2 linked regions of the Arabidopsis thaliana genome follow. Each later gene encodes a partner of the first gene's protein in a complex. Each region holds a gene or a part of one and is shown on either strand. Other genes may lie near its edges. A codon is read from its position in the direction of its gene.

Region 1 (9,457 bases):
TACGACTTTTTGTAGAATGTTTATAAGCTGAAATGAAATGGCTATTGCACTTTTACCTAAACTAAAAAGGCTTCATTTGATTGGGCTGCAGGAGGGAGACTTTGCGAGTATCTCGGTGAAGAGACTAAGGAAACGACAGATGCGGAATTTCTTTGTTTCCCTCATGGTTTCCCAAGTAAAGCTAACCATTTGTTGCTTCTTTAATTTTAATTCCTGCTCAAAGCTCGTTTCACTGATGTTATGCACATTGAACTATGATACTGGAGTAGAGGGCATGAGTTCAAAATATAAATTAATAAGCCACAAGAGAATCTAAATCCACTAGCAATTAAGTACTATGCACTGTTTGTTTGCCTTTGCAACATGTTAAGTTGTGACTGGTAATGGCATGGTGTCATGCAAAGAATATGTATTAAGGGTACTGCTTTGTCAGATTGTGATGCTCCGGTTTTCATTGAAATTAGTGTATTGCTTAACCTTTTCCTTTTCTGTCTTTCTGAACTATTAATCACCAGGGTGTCCCAATGATTTACATGGGAGATGAATATGGCCATACTAAAGGGGGAAACAACAACACGTATTGCCATGACAACTATGTAAACCCCTTATGCTTTGCTTCCAGGGTGATTATAAGTAATTTTTTCGATCTTAGCTTTCCGACATTAACACAACTCTGATGCAGATGAACTATTTTCGGTGGGATAAAAAGGAAGAAGCACATTCTGACTTCTTCAGATTCTGCCGTATTCTTATCAAGTTTCGTGAGTATGTAATCTTCTTTCATGAGTCTATCGATCTTAATTGCTTAGTTGATCGCTTCACTTAGTCTCAAATCCAATAATTGACATGCTTCTTCCTTTTCACCTACTGCTATGTGTTTTCTTTCTTTTGCAATCCCCTGTTTCTCGGGTTTCCTCTGATCGATGGCCATTATGACTGTATTGTAGTGAATGTGAATCACTTGGCTTGAATGATTTCCCAACAGCAAAGCGTCTGCAGTGGCATGGTCTTGCTCCTGAGATCCCAAATTGGTCTGAAACAAGTCGATTTGTTGCATTTTCACTGGTACCATTTTCTCATACCCCTTCTCTTACATGGACAGTTTCCTTAGTGGGTGATATTAATCCCTTTTGTTTTTCGGTAGGTCGATTCTGTGAAGAAAGAAATCTATGTGGCCTTCAACACCAGTCATTTAGCCACACTTGTTTCGCTACCGAATAGGCCAGGATACCGATGGGAGCCATTTGTAGACACGAGCAAACCGAGCCCTTACGACTGCATAACACCGGATCTCCCAGAGAGAGAAACGGCGATGAAGCAGTATAGGCACTTCTTAGATGCAAATGTGTACCCAATGCTCAGTTACTCATCCATCATTCTCCTTCTTTCACCAATTAAAGACCCCTGAGTTTGCGTGATTCCTCCAAAAGCGTATTAGACAAAATCACAACATATGAAGGAATCTTCTCAAATGTGAATGAGATGCATATACAGACAACTATTTCGTTACCTATATAATGTATTATAGTAAAGGTTCCTTTTATGGTTAGAAGAATCTGAATGGGGTACCTTTGGTCGGCTTCAGATATGCCCACTCATTGTTAATAGATTCCTTTATCGTCTGTTAATCCAATCAAAAGCTTGTTACATCGTTTTCAGAATTCGTGTAAGAACAAGAAATCAAAGTTTTCATCTATAAAGTTATAAATGATTATTAGTACTCTATTATTTGCCTTTTTACTAATGTTATCAAAACAATCACAACCACAAATAAAGTTTCAGATGCCAATCCAAACAAATATAGCTCTCAGAAGTCAACACCATGGACGATAAAGAAATCTCTCAAAATCTTCGGGGTTTTATTAAAGAAATTAAAGTAAACAGACCCCTGAGGAAAAATAAAGAAGTAATGACCATACAACAAACAAGACTGACTCTATGTAATCTCCCAAAAACATCGACGACACAACATGAAACAAAAAAAGAACCAAAGTAGTATAGTACACAGTTTGTGGAAACCCCAAAACTCGAGACTAAAAATCTTTATATACAAACCTGTTTTTTGGGTCATATCATATTGGCTCCTTCAGGACTCTAACAGTTGTTGGACAATCTGTTCTCTGGCCAGCCAGAGAGTAGTAAGCCAATATATGAGCCGGATGCTCCATCTCTCTTATCTCTCCTTGTTGATTCACTTCCGGGACTCTTCTTGATGGAATCAGCTCGATGTTCCAGTACGGTCTAGCCATCTGCATTAGATCTTGTCCCGTCATCGATGCTCTGTAACCTTGTACCCACAAGTATCTCAGTGAAGGCAATTTTGTAACCGCTGCAGCGATTGCTCGCTCACTGAAGCAACAACCTCTCATCTCTAGCTTCTGTAGATTTGGACAGCCTCTTGAGAATTCCATTAAACCTTCATCTGATTCACCTACGTAACCCAGCAGCATCCATCTCACGTTTGGACTGTACTGTCCGATGTAGCTTAAGCCCAAGTCGGTTAAGCCGCCTTGTCTCAGATAGAATGCAAATCGTCTGAGTTTCTTGCATCCAATCAAAAGAGATCGGACTCCGTTGTCCAGTGGCAGATCTGTAATCCTTTCTTCCCGGTCGAGTAAGACAAGGCGGAAGTCACAGAGGTTTTTCAGATATGTGCCTATGCTTTCAAGAGATTCGTTAGTTATATCTGAGACATACACCGCCATGTATTCTAGCTCCTGGCAGCCCTGAGCCAAAGCGATTAATCCTCTTTGTGAGACTAAGCCTTCTTCGTCCTCCATTCCTTGTTCATCTGCACCGCGTTCAATCCTCAGCCGCTTCAACTGCTTACAGTACTGTGCAAGGACCTCTAGACCCCTATCTCCGATTACATTCCTTGTCTGAAGAAAAACAACAAGTGTTGTCAGTCTTATATAGATGTAAAGACTAAAGAGAACCAATATTGCATTCATATCCCTTATCTCCCCAAATATTTCGTGAAAAAATAGGAACACAATTTAGTACTAAGGACGCATTCCCAAGTATGTAGTAAAGACAGCAAAGTTAAACGTTTACCTCGAGAACTTCCAAATTAGGACACTTTTGGATAAGCGTACAATGGTCTTCAGTTTCTAGCAATGCATAAAGCAAATCCAGCTTTCGGATTTGGGCCGCGAATGGAAATAGTATTGGCATTTCATTAGGTCCCATGTAAGAGAGACCAAGCCGACATAGTTTTCGGGGAAAAACCAGATTCATGTACTTCTCAGGCATTCCAATATCCTCATTCAAGGAGCCACCACAAAATTCTTCAAGATTAGCTGCAGCCTTAAAGAACCCAACTAGTTCCAAAATCTCAAAGTCACCGACCTTCACAGATACCAGAGAGCGGCAATTTCTAGCTATGGTTTCCAAGTCTTTGGGACTGATTTTGGCAAACTCCGTCATGTAGAAGTTTAAAACCTCAAGAGATGTGTTGTGCTGAGCAAGCTCATGAAGCCACTTACCATCCTTTTCACTAAAAGAACTCTCTTCCATTAACAAAGTTTTTATTTTCCTGGACAAGACAACAGACAGTTGCATGAATAAAGTGAGAAACAACTCAAGATATTTGGATTTCCCGCTAAAACTGAATATGAAGAACAGCAGCAGCCGAATCAAGGATTCAAAAACCAAATAATACACATAAACTCTGGCAGACTGAAGATGTCAGAAATCAATCTTTTTGCTATTTATGCATAAACAAAGTGAATGTTCCCCAAAGAGGGAAAAAATTGGTTGTAGATAAAATCCGGATCAAAGTTTATACTTCCCCAATTGAGAAATAACTGAAGATCATTGCAATTTCTGCTTTAATAGCAAGCATAACAGTTGCAAAGCAATTAAGGATATAAGACAAACATGAACGCCTAAATACTGAAACTTTCTGAAATAAATGTTTCTGCTTATATTACTCTTAGTGTAAAGTGTACTAAGAAATCAAATGAAGTAAGGTTCACCAATTTCATTAAGGACAAAAAGTATCCACCAAAGTTACAACTTACCCAATTGAGCTAAAGAAGATCAAATCTTTACAAACACAAACTCAAGATATGGTTCTTTGTACAACGACGACTTATTAAGTTTTTTAAAAAGAGCCAAATGCATCTAGAGTTCTAGTCAAAGTAGGAAATGATAAGGAGTCGCTAAACCTCAAAAGCATCGAGCCAAAGTAGCTACAAGATACTGAGAAGTAAGTGTACCTGCAGTGTGTAACGATGCTCAAAAGTCCATCAGTAGTAAAACCAGAACACTTGTCTAGCTTCAAAGTCTCAAGATCATCTGCTCTAGCTTTAGCTAAACGATCTAGATCTAAGTCACTGACAATCATCCGTCGGAAGTGCACCGATTTGAGCTGCCTAAGGTTGTTAGAAATCTCAGTAACCCAAGGAGTAACATAACCTCCCCAGTTCTCAGGGATCAGATTAAACATAGCTGCTCTAGGCTTGCCTTTAAGCTTGAGCGACCTCAAGTTCGGGAATCGACGGCTAAGACGATCAGGCGTCGCAGTGTAGCAAAGCGCCATAGTCACATGCTCTCTCGTCTCGGAATCAATCTTGAACCATCTCCGACACACCAAAGAAGCCGAATCGCGATCTTTCGGGTCAGTTATATAGGTCATGACTTGCTCGATGACATCATCAACCGTCGCGACGCAGCTCAATTTACACCTCTTGATATCAGGATCCTCCATCGGATCGAAAAAAAAACAAAAGAAAAAAACAAACGAATCCTGGAAAGATTCGATTTAGAGAAGAAACCGACGACTTCGAATTGAAATCGAGGTCGCAGATCCACACATAACCACCAGAGTGAGAAGAAAGAAGTAAGAAAGGAAAGATCCGGTGAATCGGAGAAGACTAGAGATTGAGAGAGTGAGGGAGAAGAAGACACGCGTAGGAAGAAGAGGCGGATTGGGAGGAAGAAGAAGAAAGTGGGACGATGGAATCAAATTTTGTTTGGTTAATAATATTTTTGAGGATCAAGTGGGACGATCATTATTTCATACACTGAAGTTGACGGTCGAGATGCGATCTTCTCTCTACTTCTATGTTTTTCTTTTCATTTTTGCAGTGGTCAGATCTCAGCTACACGACAATATTATTAGAATATTTAACTGATCCAATAAGCTGTGTGATTTATTCGATGGATAGATTTAATTATTTCTTTATAGAGTATTAATAACCTGAATCCTAAGCAAAAAATTTAAAAATACTAAATACTAGTATATGTTATCTTTGGTTGCTTTATATGTGATTAAAATAAAAATACAATAATTCTCCTTTCTTTTGTAAGATAAAAATTTTCTACAGTATTAGTAGCTTTTAATGAGGAAAAAAAAAGTTGTTGACTGCATGAATTTATATGGTCCATAATATGGTTAACTATATATTATGGACCATATGAATATAAGTATATAACAAAAAACTACATTTAATGATGTATGATTTTCAAGGTTTATTTGGTACAAGTTCAACATCAATTGTCGAAAGAAAGCGCTCAAAATGGTACTTTTGGAACAAAGACTATTTACATGTCTTTTTTTTAACGTCTTTGGGATTAAATCATTCAGCAACAAGACTTAAAAAGCAGCAAATTATTAACTTTTAGTGCTTATTACAGTTGCGAAAAGAACCAATCACATTGAAATTTCTTTCAGTGACAAAAGTTTTTCCAATAGAAAAAAAAAGCTCAGGAAAAGTATTAGAAAGAACAACAATGACTATGAATAAGGAGGGAACCATGAAAGAAAATGAATACTGCAAAAGAACTTTTTTATTATGATCGTATTTCTTAGCTTCATTTGAAACTCGGAAATAACAAAGGTAATATAAGCAAGCTACAAAAAACCCGACTAATTACACCTGAAACCAAAAGACTTGGGCTGAACAAAACCAAAAACTAGGCGAGAGATGAGTTTTCTATACACTTAACTCGGACCACACTTACAAAGAACCAAAAAAATTAACCAGAAGTCTCTCTGGGAGGCGCAGGCACTGCTTCGCTTGAGCTCACACTCTCACCACCACCATCTCCTCCCTCAACTGAACTCGGTTGTTGCAACCCAATAGGTGCAAACAAGCTCACACCACTCACATCCCGGCTCACACTGTATAGACCTCTGCTTCCATGATGGTTCAAAGGTGTAGATGTTGTTGCATTGGCTCCGCTTATGAGCAATCGTAGTGTTTCTCTTGCACCTTTCTCGACCAGCGAATCATTCTCCACTGGGAGCGGAGGGATGCCCGTGGATATTATCCCGGTGGGTCCAGCGCTTACCAGATAGCTTTGACCTGAAGAGAAGATATCGATAACTGGAATATGAACAATAGGGTCGCACATTATAGGAATCATCATCTGTTGCTGGGATGATGATGATGATGAGCCTGGAATGGGTATGTGGTGGACTAATGGTAATGGAGGGATGTCAGAGAGATCGAGCGGTGATGACGGGATCAAGAATCCATCTGATCCCGATGCTGGTAATAAGGAGGAAAGTGGCGGAAGGGAAGGTAGCTCAATGGATAGTGGAGGGAACTGATAAGAGGCAGATGGTGCGTGAAGCGATGAAGTGGTTGGAGGGCACCAGCAATAATAAGGAGAAAAGACTGGTGGACCCATCTTCAAAGGAAATGGGGGAGGTCCGGTCATTGTACTTGGTGTTGACTCTGCTTCTTCAAAAGCAATAATTTGTCTGATTCCATTATAATTCTCAGTAGCTTCTTCAACTTCTCCTTCTGACTGGATAAAACCCTCTACATTGGTGGGGATAGAGGTAATGGATGAATTATCAAAGATTGAGAAATGGCCTTCACTGTGTCCCTTTGATTTATCTCTAGAGGAGATACGTAGAGAAGCATTTCTCAGTGTGTTTTCTTTGAAGGAGCTTGCTCTAGGGCTGAGGCTTCCTTGGGTCTTTGTCTGTTGAGTCCCACAGTGGCGTGCTCTAAGAGATTTTGATGATGCACTCGAGGAGGAATCAGCTGTTTCAGAAAAGCCAGAAGATGATGATGAATCAGGAGATGGGACCTGACAACCTTTGATGTTAGGCACCACTGAACCCATGAGATACAAACGGAGATGAGAAGCAACAGAGCCAAGACGTGATTCTTCAATTCCAGTTAATTCTGAGATTGATGGCTTCTTCTTGATCAAGTCTTTCATCTACACAGGATAACAACAGATGATGAGAAAATTTAGATGCACAGACAAGGATTTTAAAACAACACTATTTCACAAACCTTCCTACGCAATTCAGTTCCCAGAAGTTTTGACTTCTCTGAGCACCAATAGTAAAAAGCATTGCCATTTGCGATCCTTATAACAAAAGATCTACCAGAGCTGTCCACAGTTATCTCCTCAATTGACACCGCAGAGCACTGAGATTTGCTGGTATAGGTAAAGAGTTGTTCTGAATGACCATTGTCTCCAATAAATGAGAGTCTCAAGTCAGATGTTGGCAAGACCATAAGGCTCAGGTTACCCCTGACCAATAGGAGATAAAACGTCAAGAAATCAGTCGGAAAAACACTCTAATATCAAAATCAAAAGCACTAACAAATAAACACTAGATGCTGAAAACCAGAAGTTGGATCAAGTCCAAGAGCTTTTAAATGCTTGCAAGTTACCCTTAATTCAAACTACATCAAAAGAATCTACCAGATAAACATGCAGAACTGTTTACAGAACAGCTATGTTATTAGCCTATTACTAATATTCACAAAACATAGGGTACTGCCGGAATAAACATTATGTTCAATAATTTGGTACTTGACACTTTTTAAGACTGTGGCTTAGCTTAACTGAAACTACATTATTCATAACTTAGCATAGGGACCTGCAACTTAGAAGCTAGAACAAAAAAAGATGATAACATGATTATCTAAGAGCTTCCTGAAACGAACTTTATATAGATCCATTGTAATAAGTTTGAACAGAATAGTACCACCAGAACACACAAAAGACCTTTTAAATCAAATAAGTAGTAACGATGAGAAAACAAAAAGCTTAAATTTACAAAAAAAATACCATTCAATGAAAGCCATAGCGAGATAATATAAAGTGATTAAGAAGGATATATAGTCAGTGATGTTATGACAAAACAGAGAGAAAATTAAAGCCCTATATGACTAGAAATCAAGAACATACTACACAACATTGGTGATGAAACTACCTTTACTTCATCATCTACCAGAGATCATAACAGATTACGCCCACATTACCTACAATAAAAGATACATTTTATTTGGAAGCATGAACAGTATCACTATACGACTGATTGAGATCCTATGATTTCTAAAATTTTAACTAAACCAACGCAAATTATGGATAGACCTTATTACTGAAAGCTAGATATACATTGATACAAACATAACTAACCATATGAACTAAGACTATGTAATACCCCAACCTCCAAAGTGTTAGCACATAAAGAACTGCAAAAGGTCAGTAAAACAGAGATACAACCATTCATATGAAAATAGGTATAGTATTTGATAAAATGAGACCAAACATGGAGAAACTCAGCGAGAGAGTATCAATAAAACTAAAGCAGGAATTGTATGTGTGCACCCAAAAAACTTACTTTGTATCAGCAGATGATTTCAAAATCACTACTGATTCAGATAATCAGCCTGCAATTGAACAAGCATTCATAAAATCGCCTAATCAATGACAGATTACACACAAACCATTAATTAACATTCTGGTATATGCTATGCTACATCTCTAACATAAGAACCGTCTTCAAAGACAACAAAACCTAACTAGAGAGCTATAATTCACAAATCTCTAAGACAACAAAGAGCGAACAAAGAAAATAGCAATTAACACGATTATAACAAAAACAGGACTCATTGATTACCTTATGGGAGTGGGGCGCATTAGAATCCCTTCCTTTATAATCTTCCCGACGCGAACCGAAACCAGAGGTATGCAAAAACATCTAGCCAGCATACCAATTTCCGCAGGCTCGAAGTGCTATTCAATAAACAAGAAATCAGTATTATTATCTCAACAAAAATGGAAACCAAAATCATCGAATTCAGAAACTATTCAAACCTGGCTAAGATGCGCAAGCAATCGATCTTCAGCCATTCCATTAGAAACGTTAAGCTTCAACAACGGCTTCAATCTCTCATCACCTCGACAAGCTCCCATAACTTGCATGTCCAAAGCTTGTAACCACCGTAAAACCCTATCCTCTCCAACCAAAAAGTCTCCTCCGGTTGCATCAGTCAACGGATCTGAAACTCTACTCTCAATCCTCGTCAATTCATTCTCTCCTTCGGTTCCATTAAATTGAGAGTCATCAGTCGTCGACGACGAAATAGACAAATCATCACCGTCATTTGGTTGATCATCACGGTGCTGATGATCGTCTCCGGTATCTCGCTTCCTAGAATCGGCCATATCAAATATCGTATCGGTAACTTGTCAG
Region 2 (7,202 bases), on another chromosome or scaffold:
AGGAATAAAAAAAGCAGACCACTATATAAACAACGTGACTCAACCCTGTATTCAAGAGATCGAGAAACATTATTTCCACACCATCTAATTAGAATCAAAGTTCAGTTTCAAAGGGATTAAATCGGCTATAATGTCTAATTATTCACAAACGTTTTCTATCAAACCATGTTTTCCTCTTCAGCAGTTTTCTTATAGACCTGTGTTTGGTAAGTTGTTATTAAGTTTGTTTTATATATATTAGCTAGTGTTTCTTATCATTACTCTTGAGTTTTTTACTAACTTATGTAAGTTGTGAGCAACAGATTTAGCACATCTTCCAGATTTTAGGTCAGCAGCATGTTCCAGTTTATCTTCTTTCATCGTTTTCCAAATTGATTATTATTTTAGGTAAATAAACTTTTATTTTGGTTTATTTACTTTAAAGTTTTTTTTGTTTTTTGTGTTTATTGATTTCTTAGGATATGTTTACCTTCATTGATAATGCAGCGATGATAATTTGGCAAAAGATGAGTACTTGAGATCTCAAATGGATAATCAAGGATGGGTTAATATTTTAACTATTACAGATTTTCCAAGAGTAAGTTAACTTTAGTGAATATTTTATTTTTTTGAAAAATAGAGTGGATAATAATAATCTTAATCGTTTTTTCTTGGCCTTTACAAAAATATAAAAAATAAAAAAAATCAGATCAAAAGCATGACTAATGATATTGAGTTGATATTGCGTTCAATGAAATCATCAGCTACAGTTGAAATCCAGGTAATTTACTAATAATCACACGTAACAAGAGTTCTATAACTTTATCTGTTTTTGTTTTTGTTTTATGTTCTTTCCACCAAGATAGATAATCATGAAATACTAATATTTACTGAATGTTGAAATTAAATTATGTGCAGAATAACAAGCTGAGAAAACGCCAGGGATGGGAGAGGTGGATAAATCCAATGAGGCTCCATATACTGCTACCATAATGAAGAGACTGATAGAGTTTGACTGTTTGATATCAATCGTTTGTTACTAAAATATTATGTCGTTTGTGGTTACTAAAACAATTATAATCTTTGTTCTATTGTAGACCTTCTACATGTCTTTGGATTTCTAAATATTGTTTATGCCAACTCACATACTACATAGTTAAATAAAAGAGAAATTATAATAAATATGTCCTGAAGACTGAAAAATTAGGTGGCGGAATTGTTGACTATTTCAACAGTAAAATAACTGATGAAGTTACTTTATTATACATTTGTATTTTTTGTTTTTTAAATAAAATTTCACATCTTATTTTTATTACTAAATATTTTCATTGTTATCAGGTTATCCTCGTTAACAATTATTGAAAAATATTATGTATAAATTATATGTTAGAGTAAATATTATTCATATATCAAATATTTTAACGTTTTTATATAAATATTATTCCGTTATATAATATGTTAGCATGTTATTATTCTATATATCATGTTGTTATAATTATTATCATCTTAATTATGTAAGAAAAAGTCTAATTTCCTTCTATTGTTTTGAATATACATAAATAAAAAATAAAGATTTACAATTTTAAATCGATAACTATTTTTTTAACAAATAATTTATAAATTTATCGTGATATCACAGTTTTTAGCACGTTAAACAAATAGCTATATGCTTATTATCCGCAAATTACAATTAATTTTATTCAATAGCATTTTTGTAATTAATGTAAAAAAAGATATTTTTAGTTTATATATTATTTATCTTTCATACTTACCAAAATAACTAATATTTATGCATAGATTCTTAATTTCTTCATCTTCCATGCATATCAATTAATATAGCTCTAAATAAAAACCCAAAAGCTTATGCTATTTGCATCGTTGACATGAGCTTGCATATTTCACGACGTCCATGCCAAAACCCTGTAATACCAGACTTAGTGTTGAAATAATAATGTATAAATGAGATAATACAACATCAATCCGTTATCGTCCAGCGGTTAGGATATCTGGCTTTCACCCAGGAGACCCGGGTTCGATTCCCGGTAACGGAGCTTTTTGTTCTCTTTTTTTTTTTCTTTTTTGTGATAAACCACTTTCTTTTGATGCTGAGACATATGCGGCCACGAAAGAGACTGATTTCAATTAATTTGATCATATGATTAATCTTAATGAAAGAGATGACATATCTGATATTAGATCAAAATTACAATACTTTTACATGTTTTTGGCAATCTCTTTAAGCAATGACTTTATAATCTTCCCAGTGGAAGTCTTTGGTAACTCTTCAAGAAACGAGACCGTTTTAGGAGCCATGTAACGTGGCATTTTATATTTGCAATACTCTATAATCTCCTTATCCGTTGGTTTCCGGGTCAACCCGGGTTTTAAACTAACAAAAGCACACGGCGTCTCTCCCCAAAACTCGTCAGGTCTAGCCACCACCGCCGCTTCATTCACCGCCGGATTCGTGTACAACACCGCCTCCACTTCCACACTACTCACATTCTCTCCTCCTGAAATAATCACATCTTTCGATCTATCTTTAATCTCTAAGTAACCATCCCCGTGAATCACACCGAGGTCTCCGGTGAAGAACCACCCGTTTTTAAACGAATTTTGAGTTCCGATCGGATTTTTTAAGTATCCGAGCATGATTGAACTCCCTCTCAACACTATTTCTCCGACTGTTTCTCCGTCTCTCTCCACGCTCCGACCTGATTCTGGATCCACTACATCGATTTCGCTAAATCCGACGGTTCTCACTCCTTGCCGTGATTTCAATTGCGCTTGATCACTCGCCGGTAACCGATTCCAGTTTGGCTTCCACGCGCAGGAGACGATCACACCGGCTGTCTCCGTTAATCCGTAACCGTGACTGACGATGAAACCTAGAGACTCGGCGCGGAGAAGCACCGTAGCTGGCGGAGAAGAACCGGCGGTTAAGAAATTGACCGGACTCTTAAGAGGCTGATCAGATTCTTGACTCGCCGATAGAATCTGAAGCACTATTGGTGCGCCGTACATGTGAGTCACGCCGTGATCACGGATTAGATGGTATATTGACGGCGCGTGGAGTTTACGCACACAGACGTTAGTTCCTCCGACGGCGGCGATTCCCCATGGATAGGTCCAACCGTTGGCGTGAAATATCGGTAAGGTCCATAAGTAAACCGGGGTTTTCGGTACGGCCCAATCGGTTAGGGAATCAAGCGTCATGACGAATATACCCCTGTGGCAATGAACCACTCCTTTAGGAGACGACGTCGTACCTGATGTGTAATTGACCACAATCGGGTCCCATTCACTTCCGGGTCGGATCCATTTAAAATCCGGATTCCCTCTAGTGATTAGATCACTGTACAAGTAACAGAATTTTGAACGCTCCGTTACTTCAGCTCCTCCTTCTTCCTCCTCCTCATTGGCGATTAGGACGAGAATCGGCGGATTGAGCAACATCGTGATCGCTTCGACAGCGAGATCGGAGTAAAAGAAGTCGACGAAGAGCAGCTTAGACTCGCAATGGCGGAGAAGAACAGAGACGGTTCGCGCGTCGAGGCGGGTATTGATGTTGTTAAGGATCGCGCCAGACATCGGAACGGAAAACTGGAGCTCGTACATTTCCGGAGTATTAGCAGATAGGACAGAGACAACGTCGGATCTTCCTATTCCAATGGAAGACAGAGCAGACGCGACGCAGAGGCAACGGTGATTCGTTTCTCGCCATGTGTACACGGTGGAATTGCCGTAAACGATGGAGGTACAGTCTCCATACACGGTGGCTGCTCTCTCAAGAAAGCCTAACAGTGTCAATGGTAACGAGTTAGCGGCACTTGGCTTCAAATCTTCCATTTTCTTTAGCTCTTTTCGAGTGACCACAATGTGAGTGTTACTGTATATAAAGAAGATATCTCTTTCAGTCTCATAGTAAAGATAAGATACACAATGACGAGACGAGAGACCACTTGACTAGCCAGACAAACAATTAAAGTAATTATATTGATGTACATGTGATCCACGTTCGGTTGAGTGGAAACTTTGTTTTCTTATATGCAAACAAAGCCCACATGTTATCGAATGTTGACGAATGGGTGATGCTGATTATGTTAGTATTTGAGAAGATGTTGACAAGATACAAATACGTGATGCAGATATTTATGTAAGTAGATGAGCAGGAGCAGGGCATAACTGGTGACCATTGGTTTCAATGAGTAGTCGTCATGATCCTTCACATTCTGCTTGCAGACTCTGCCAAATTCAGTTTCTTTTTATTTACACATGAACATTCCTAAAATGAATCGTGCAAATTAGCATTCTGTGGCGATTGGCAAGACAATTGAAAGAAGTTATTTTGTAAGACAAACCAACATCACTCTTGAAGATTATCTAAAAGCACAAATTATCCATCCCACAAAGAGTAAGAAACATTGGTTCTTGATAAGAAAGAAAGAAGAGGAAGAAGATAGTCATGATTCATGAAGAATATTAAAAAGCAAGTCATCAACAACACTTGAAAACGGCAATAAACATAAGGAAGAAGAAACTGGTTGCTTGCTGCTTTTGATTCTTCTCTCTGAAGATCAATCATTCAAAAGCCCATTGGTTCTCTCTGCGAACCTCTTCCTCTTCCTCTGGTGTGAAGTCGTTCTTAATGTTGAACGTTGTGCGGATCTCTTCTGGAGTCTTTCCTTTGATCATATCCGCAACTGTCTGACATGTTAGATCAAGCAAGTTCTTGATATTCAGGTAATTAGCAGCCTGCACAAGATCCCAAATTCATAACCATTAGATCAAAATCCGAATCCAAAAACACAGATATGATTATAATCCAAATCGATAGATTCAATTAATGATTGGTTCCATAAGAACCCTAACAATATCAATCTCAAGCAGATTCAATTTCTGAAACAAACACCTAAATTTCGAAACCCTAATTTTCCCAAATCGAAAACCCTAGAATCCCAAAATTCAAAATTCGATGGAAAAATCAAATCAGATCGAGAGAAGAAACATACCAGAATGAGTTCAAAGAGAGTAGCTTGATCGATCTTCATAAAATCAGCGTCCCAGGCCTTAAGATCGTCATCGGAGGTAGCAGCACCCTCGACGGCCTCGGCCTTAGAGGCAGCAGCCTCGACGTGCCTCTTGCAATACTCGATCACCTTGGCGAGGATCTTGCTCGTGACGTTAGGAAGAGGGACTCCGTTGTCGACGCAGTCGTCTTCAACCATATGCGCTATGGTTTGTGACTCGAGAGCCACCGCCTCCTCAACCTCGAAAGATTCACCATCGGAACTCTTCAACACAATCTTCTTCGCAGACATGGTTATGGAAACGAAGAGAGAAGAGAAAGATTTTAGATTTGGGAGATTTGTTCTTTGAAGAAAATTTTGGAGAAGCGATGAATGAAATAAAGAGATGCGTCTCTCTTTATATATAAAACAATCCCTAATTTTGATAAGTCGGTCGATTGTTAAAAAGTCGCAAGTTTAGGGAAATTAGGAAATTGTTTCAAATTTTGTTTTTCTAAAAGAAAAATAGAAATCAATCCTATTGATTTTAAATTTTGTTTTCAATAGTTGAAATTAATGAAATTAGGACTCTGTTCTATTTTTCTTTTGGAAATATTAACTTTGATCCGTTTAATTCGTTGTATTTATCTCATTATTAATAATATATGATTTTATATATATTTTTTTTCCATCCAGCTCCATAATTGTCAAAAAAAGTAAAAGAACCAAAAATCACCGTAGGATAAGTATTAGTCAATCAAATCAGCTTTGTCAGCTTTAAGATCATGTTTTTTGAACATTTATTTTTATTTTATATTAAGTTAATATTAATATGTCATAATAAATAATATATCTAACTAGTTTTTGGTCAAGAGTCATACAATATTTTAGGCCTGGGATAACGGTTCAACCCGAGAAAACCGAACCGAAAAAAACGAAAATTTTGGTTTTCGGCAGCAACCGAATTAAGGAGATCGAACCGATCGGCCAAATTAATTTAAGAATTCGGAAGTCGGTTCGGGTCGGTTCGGTAATCGGAACCAATCGGTTTCACCCATACCGAGAATCTGCAGCCATATATAAGGTTAATTGATGAGTCTTAACCTAATTAGGTTTCTTCTTCGTTTTTGGCTCTCTGCCTCTTGCGAAAACAACAAAGAAACTTTGATATTTTTCTTCGATTGAATTAGTAATCATCAACTCGTCTCTTCTCCTTCATGAATTCATCATCTTCCAAGCCTCTTTCATTCTCTCTAATCTCAGTTGGTCTTACAAAAAACCTTTGCTCAGAGATTCAACCCACAACCTCAACTTTCTTAGGGTAAACTCTTCTTATTTCTCTTTAATCATTTGTTTTGTTTGATTCTTTGCTCTCTAAGCTCTTCCTCTGTCTCTATAATTTCTGAAATTTTAGAGTTAGGCTTTACACTTCCAAATCTGAGATTATCCATTATTTTTATGGATCTTTTATGGTTTACACTTCCATCTCATGTTTTTTCTTACTTCATGGATAACAAACGGGCGTTTAACAGGTCTCGTAGGGCATTACGTCGTCGGAATGGTAGATCACTAGATTGGAGAGGCACTGCTCGACGTCGCAGTTTGGAGTTGTAGTCGTACATATTTTTTTTGTCAAAACTCAAAACCCTAATTTTGTAATGGACCTGACCCATAATTGTGTTGTGGATTTGTAATTGTAACTGTATATTTGTGTATTGGGCCTGTTGTTTGTTTTTTATTAGATTTCATTTTTGTAAGTCCATTTTTTTAATTTGTGGTTTATTTGGTTCAAATTAACCGAATTAGAAAAAAAATCGGTTTAATCCGGAATTTAATTTATACCCAATAACCGAACCGAAAAAACCGATGTCCGAACCGACCCGAACCGAATTTTTGTTCGGTTCAATTCGGCTAGAAATTAAAAAATCCAAAAACCCCGAAAAACTAAATAAACCGAACCGATTAAACCGATATATCCGAACTCCCAGGGCTACAATATTTATATAATGCTGTGGATTTTATTCTCTCTTTCATTTATTTCTTAATGGGTAATATATATTCTTAGATATAATATTCAACTTTGTTTTGTTTTCTTTTCTAGTTATAACTAATCATATACATCAAGATAAGGTGTATGATTTATATGCTTACTTATATGATTATATGGTAACTTTTTTGAAATGCATTCAGTTTTTTTAGTTATAACGTATTTTA

Evidence for each region.
Region 2: the proteins of COI1 (region 1) and SKP1 are in contact, whole or in part, in a crystal structure (PDB 3OGK), measured with the Arabidopsis thaliana proteins. Residues at the interface, in NP_565919.1 of Arabidopsis thaliana: Cys13 (codon at 4,675), Val14 (codon at 4,672), Ala15 (codon at 4,669), Thr16 (codon at 4,666), Val17 (codon at 4,663), Asp19 (codon at 4,657), Val20 (codon at 4,654), Gln23 (codon at 4,645), Val24 (codon at 4,642), Tyr27 (codon at 4,633), Ile28 (codon at 4,630), Thr29 (codon at 4,627), Asp30 (codon at 4,624), Pro31 (codon at 4,621), Asp33 (codon at 4,615), Asp35 (codon at 4,609), Ser36 (codon at 4,606), Ser38 (codon at 4,600), Leu39 (codon at 4,597), Val40 (codon at 4,594), Cys41 (codon at 4,591), Arg42 (codon at 4,588), Trp44 (codon at 4,582), Phe45 (codon at 4,579), Arg52 (codon at 4,558), His54 (codon at 4,552), Val55 (codon at 4,549), Thr56 (codon at 4,546), Met57 (codon at 4,543), Ala58 (codon at 4,540); in NP_565123.1 of Arabidopsis thaliana: Ala96 (codon at 5,015), Phe99 (codon at 5,006), Glu100 (codon at 5,003), Ile102 (codon at 4,997), Leu103 (codon at 4,994), Asn106 (codon at 4,728), Leu114 (codon at 4,704), Asp115 (codon at 4,701), Cys118 (codon at 4,692), Gln119 (codon at 4,689), Val121 (codon at 4,683), Ala122 (codon at 4,680), Ile125 (codon at 4,671), Lys126 (codon at 4,668), Gly127 (codon at 4,665), Lys128 (codon at 4,662), Thr129 (codon at 4,659), Pro130 (codon at 4,656), Ile133 (codon at 4,647), Arg134 (codon at 4,644), Phe137 (codon at 4,635), Ile139 (codon at 4,629), Lys140 (codon at 4,626), Asn141 (codon at 4,623), Asp142 (codon at 4,620), Phe143 (codon at 4,617), Thr144 (codon at 4,614), Glu147 (codon at 4,605), Glu148 (codon at 4,602), Glu150 (codon at 4,596).

Annotation. Positions count from the first base shown.
Region 1 is NC_003071.7:16,670,776-16,680,232, forward strand, and holds COI1 (RNI-like superfamily protein), read right to left. Parts: upstream 5,090-9,457; 5' UTR 4,712-5,089; coding exon 4,221-4,711; intron 3,536-4,220; coding exon 3,055-3,535; intron 2,880-3,054; coding exon 2,073-2,879; 3' UTR 1,718-2,072; downstream 1-1,717. Other genes in the region: ISA1 (isoamylase 1), read left to right, coding at 92-175, 516-596, 683-765, 948-1,065, 1,145-1,408; AT2G39950 (flocculation protein), read right to left, coding at 5,983-7,182, 7,260-7,503, 8,882-8,997, 9,079-9,429. UniProt on the Arabidopsis thaliana protein: Required for jasmonate-regulated plant fertility and defense processes, and for coronatine and/or other elicitors perceptions/responses. Seems to not be required for meiosis. Required for the regulation of some genes induced by wounding, but not for all.
Region 2 is NC_003070.9:28,514,813-28,522,014, reverse strand, and holds SKP1 (S phase kinase-associated protein 1), read right to left. Parts: upstream 5,497-7,202; 5' UTR 5,301-5,496; coding exon 4,992-5,300; intron 4,735-4,991; coding exon 4,561-4,734; 3' UTR 4,119-4,560; downstream 1-4,118. Other genes in the region: AT1G75960 (AMP-dependent synthetase and ligase family protein), read right to left, coding at 2,194-3,828; AT1G75945 (uncharacterized protein), read left to right, coding at 6,206-6,309, 6,521-6,602. UniProt on the Arabidopsis thaliana protein: Involved in ubiquitination and subsequent proteasomal degradation of target proteins. Together with CUL1, RBX1 and a F-box protein, it forms a SCF E3 ubiquitin ligase complex. The functional specificity of this complex depends on the type of F-box protein.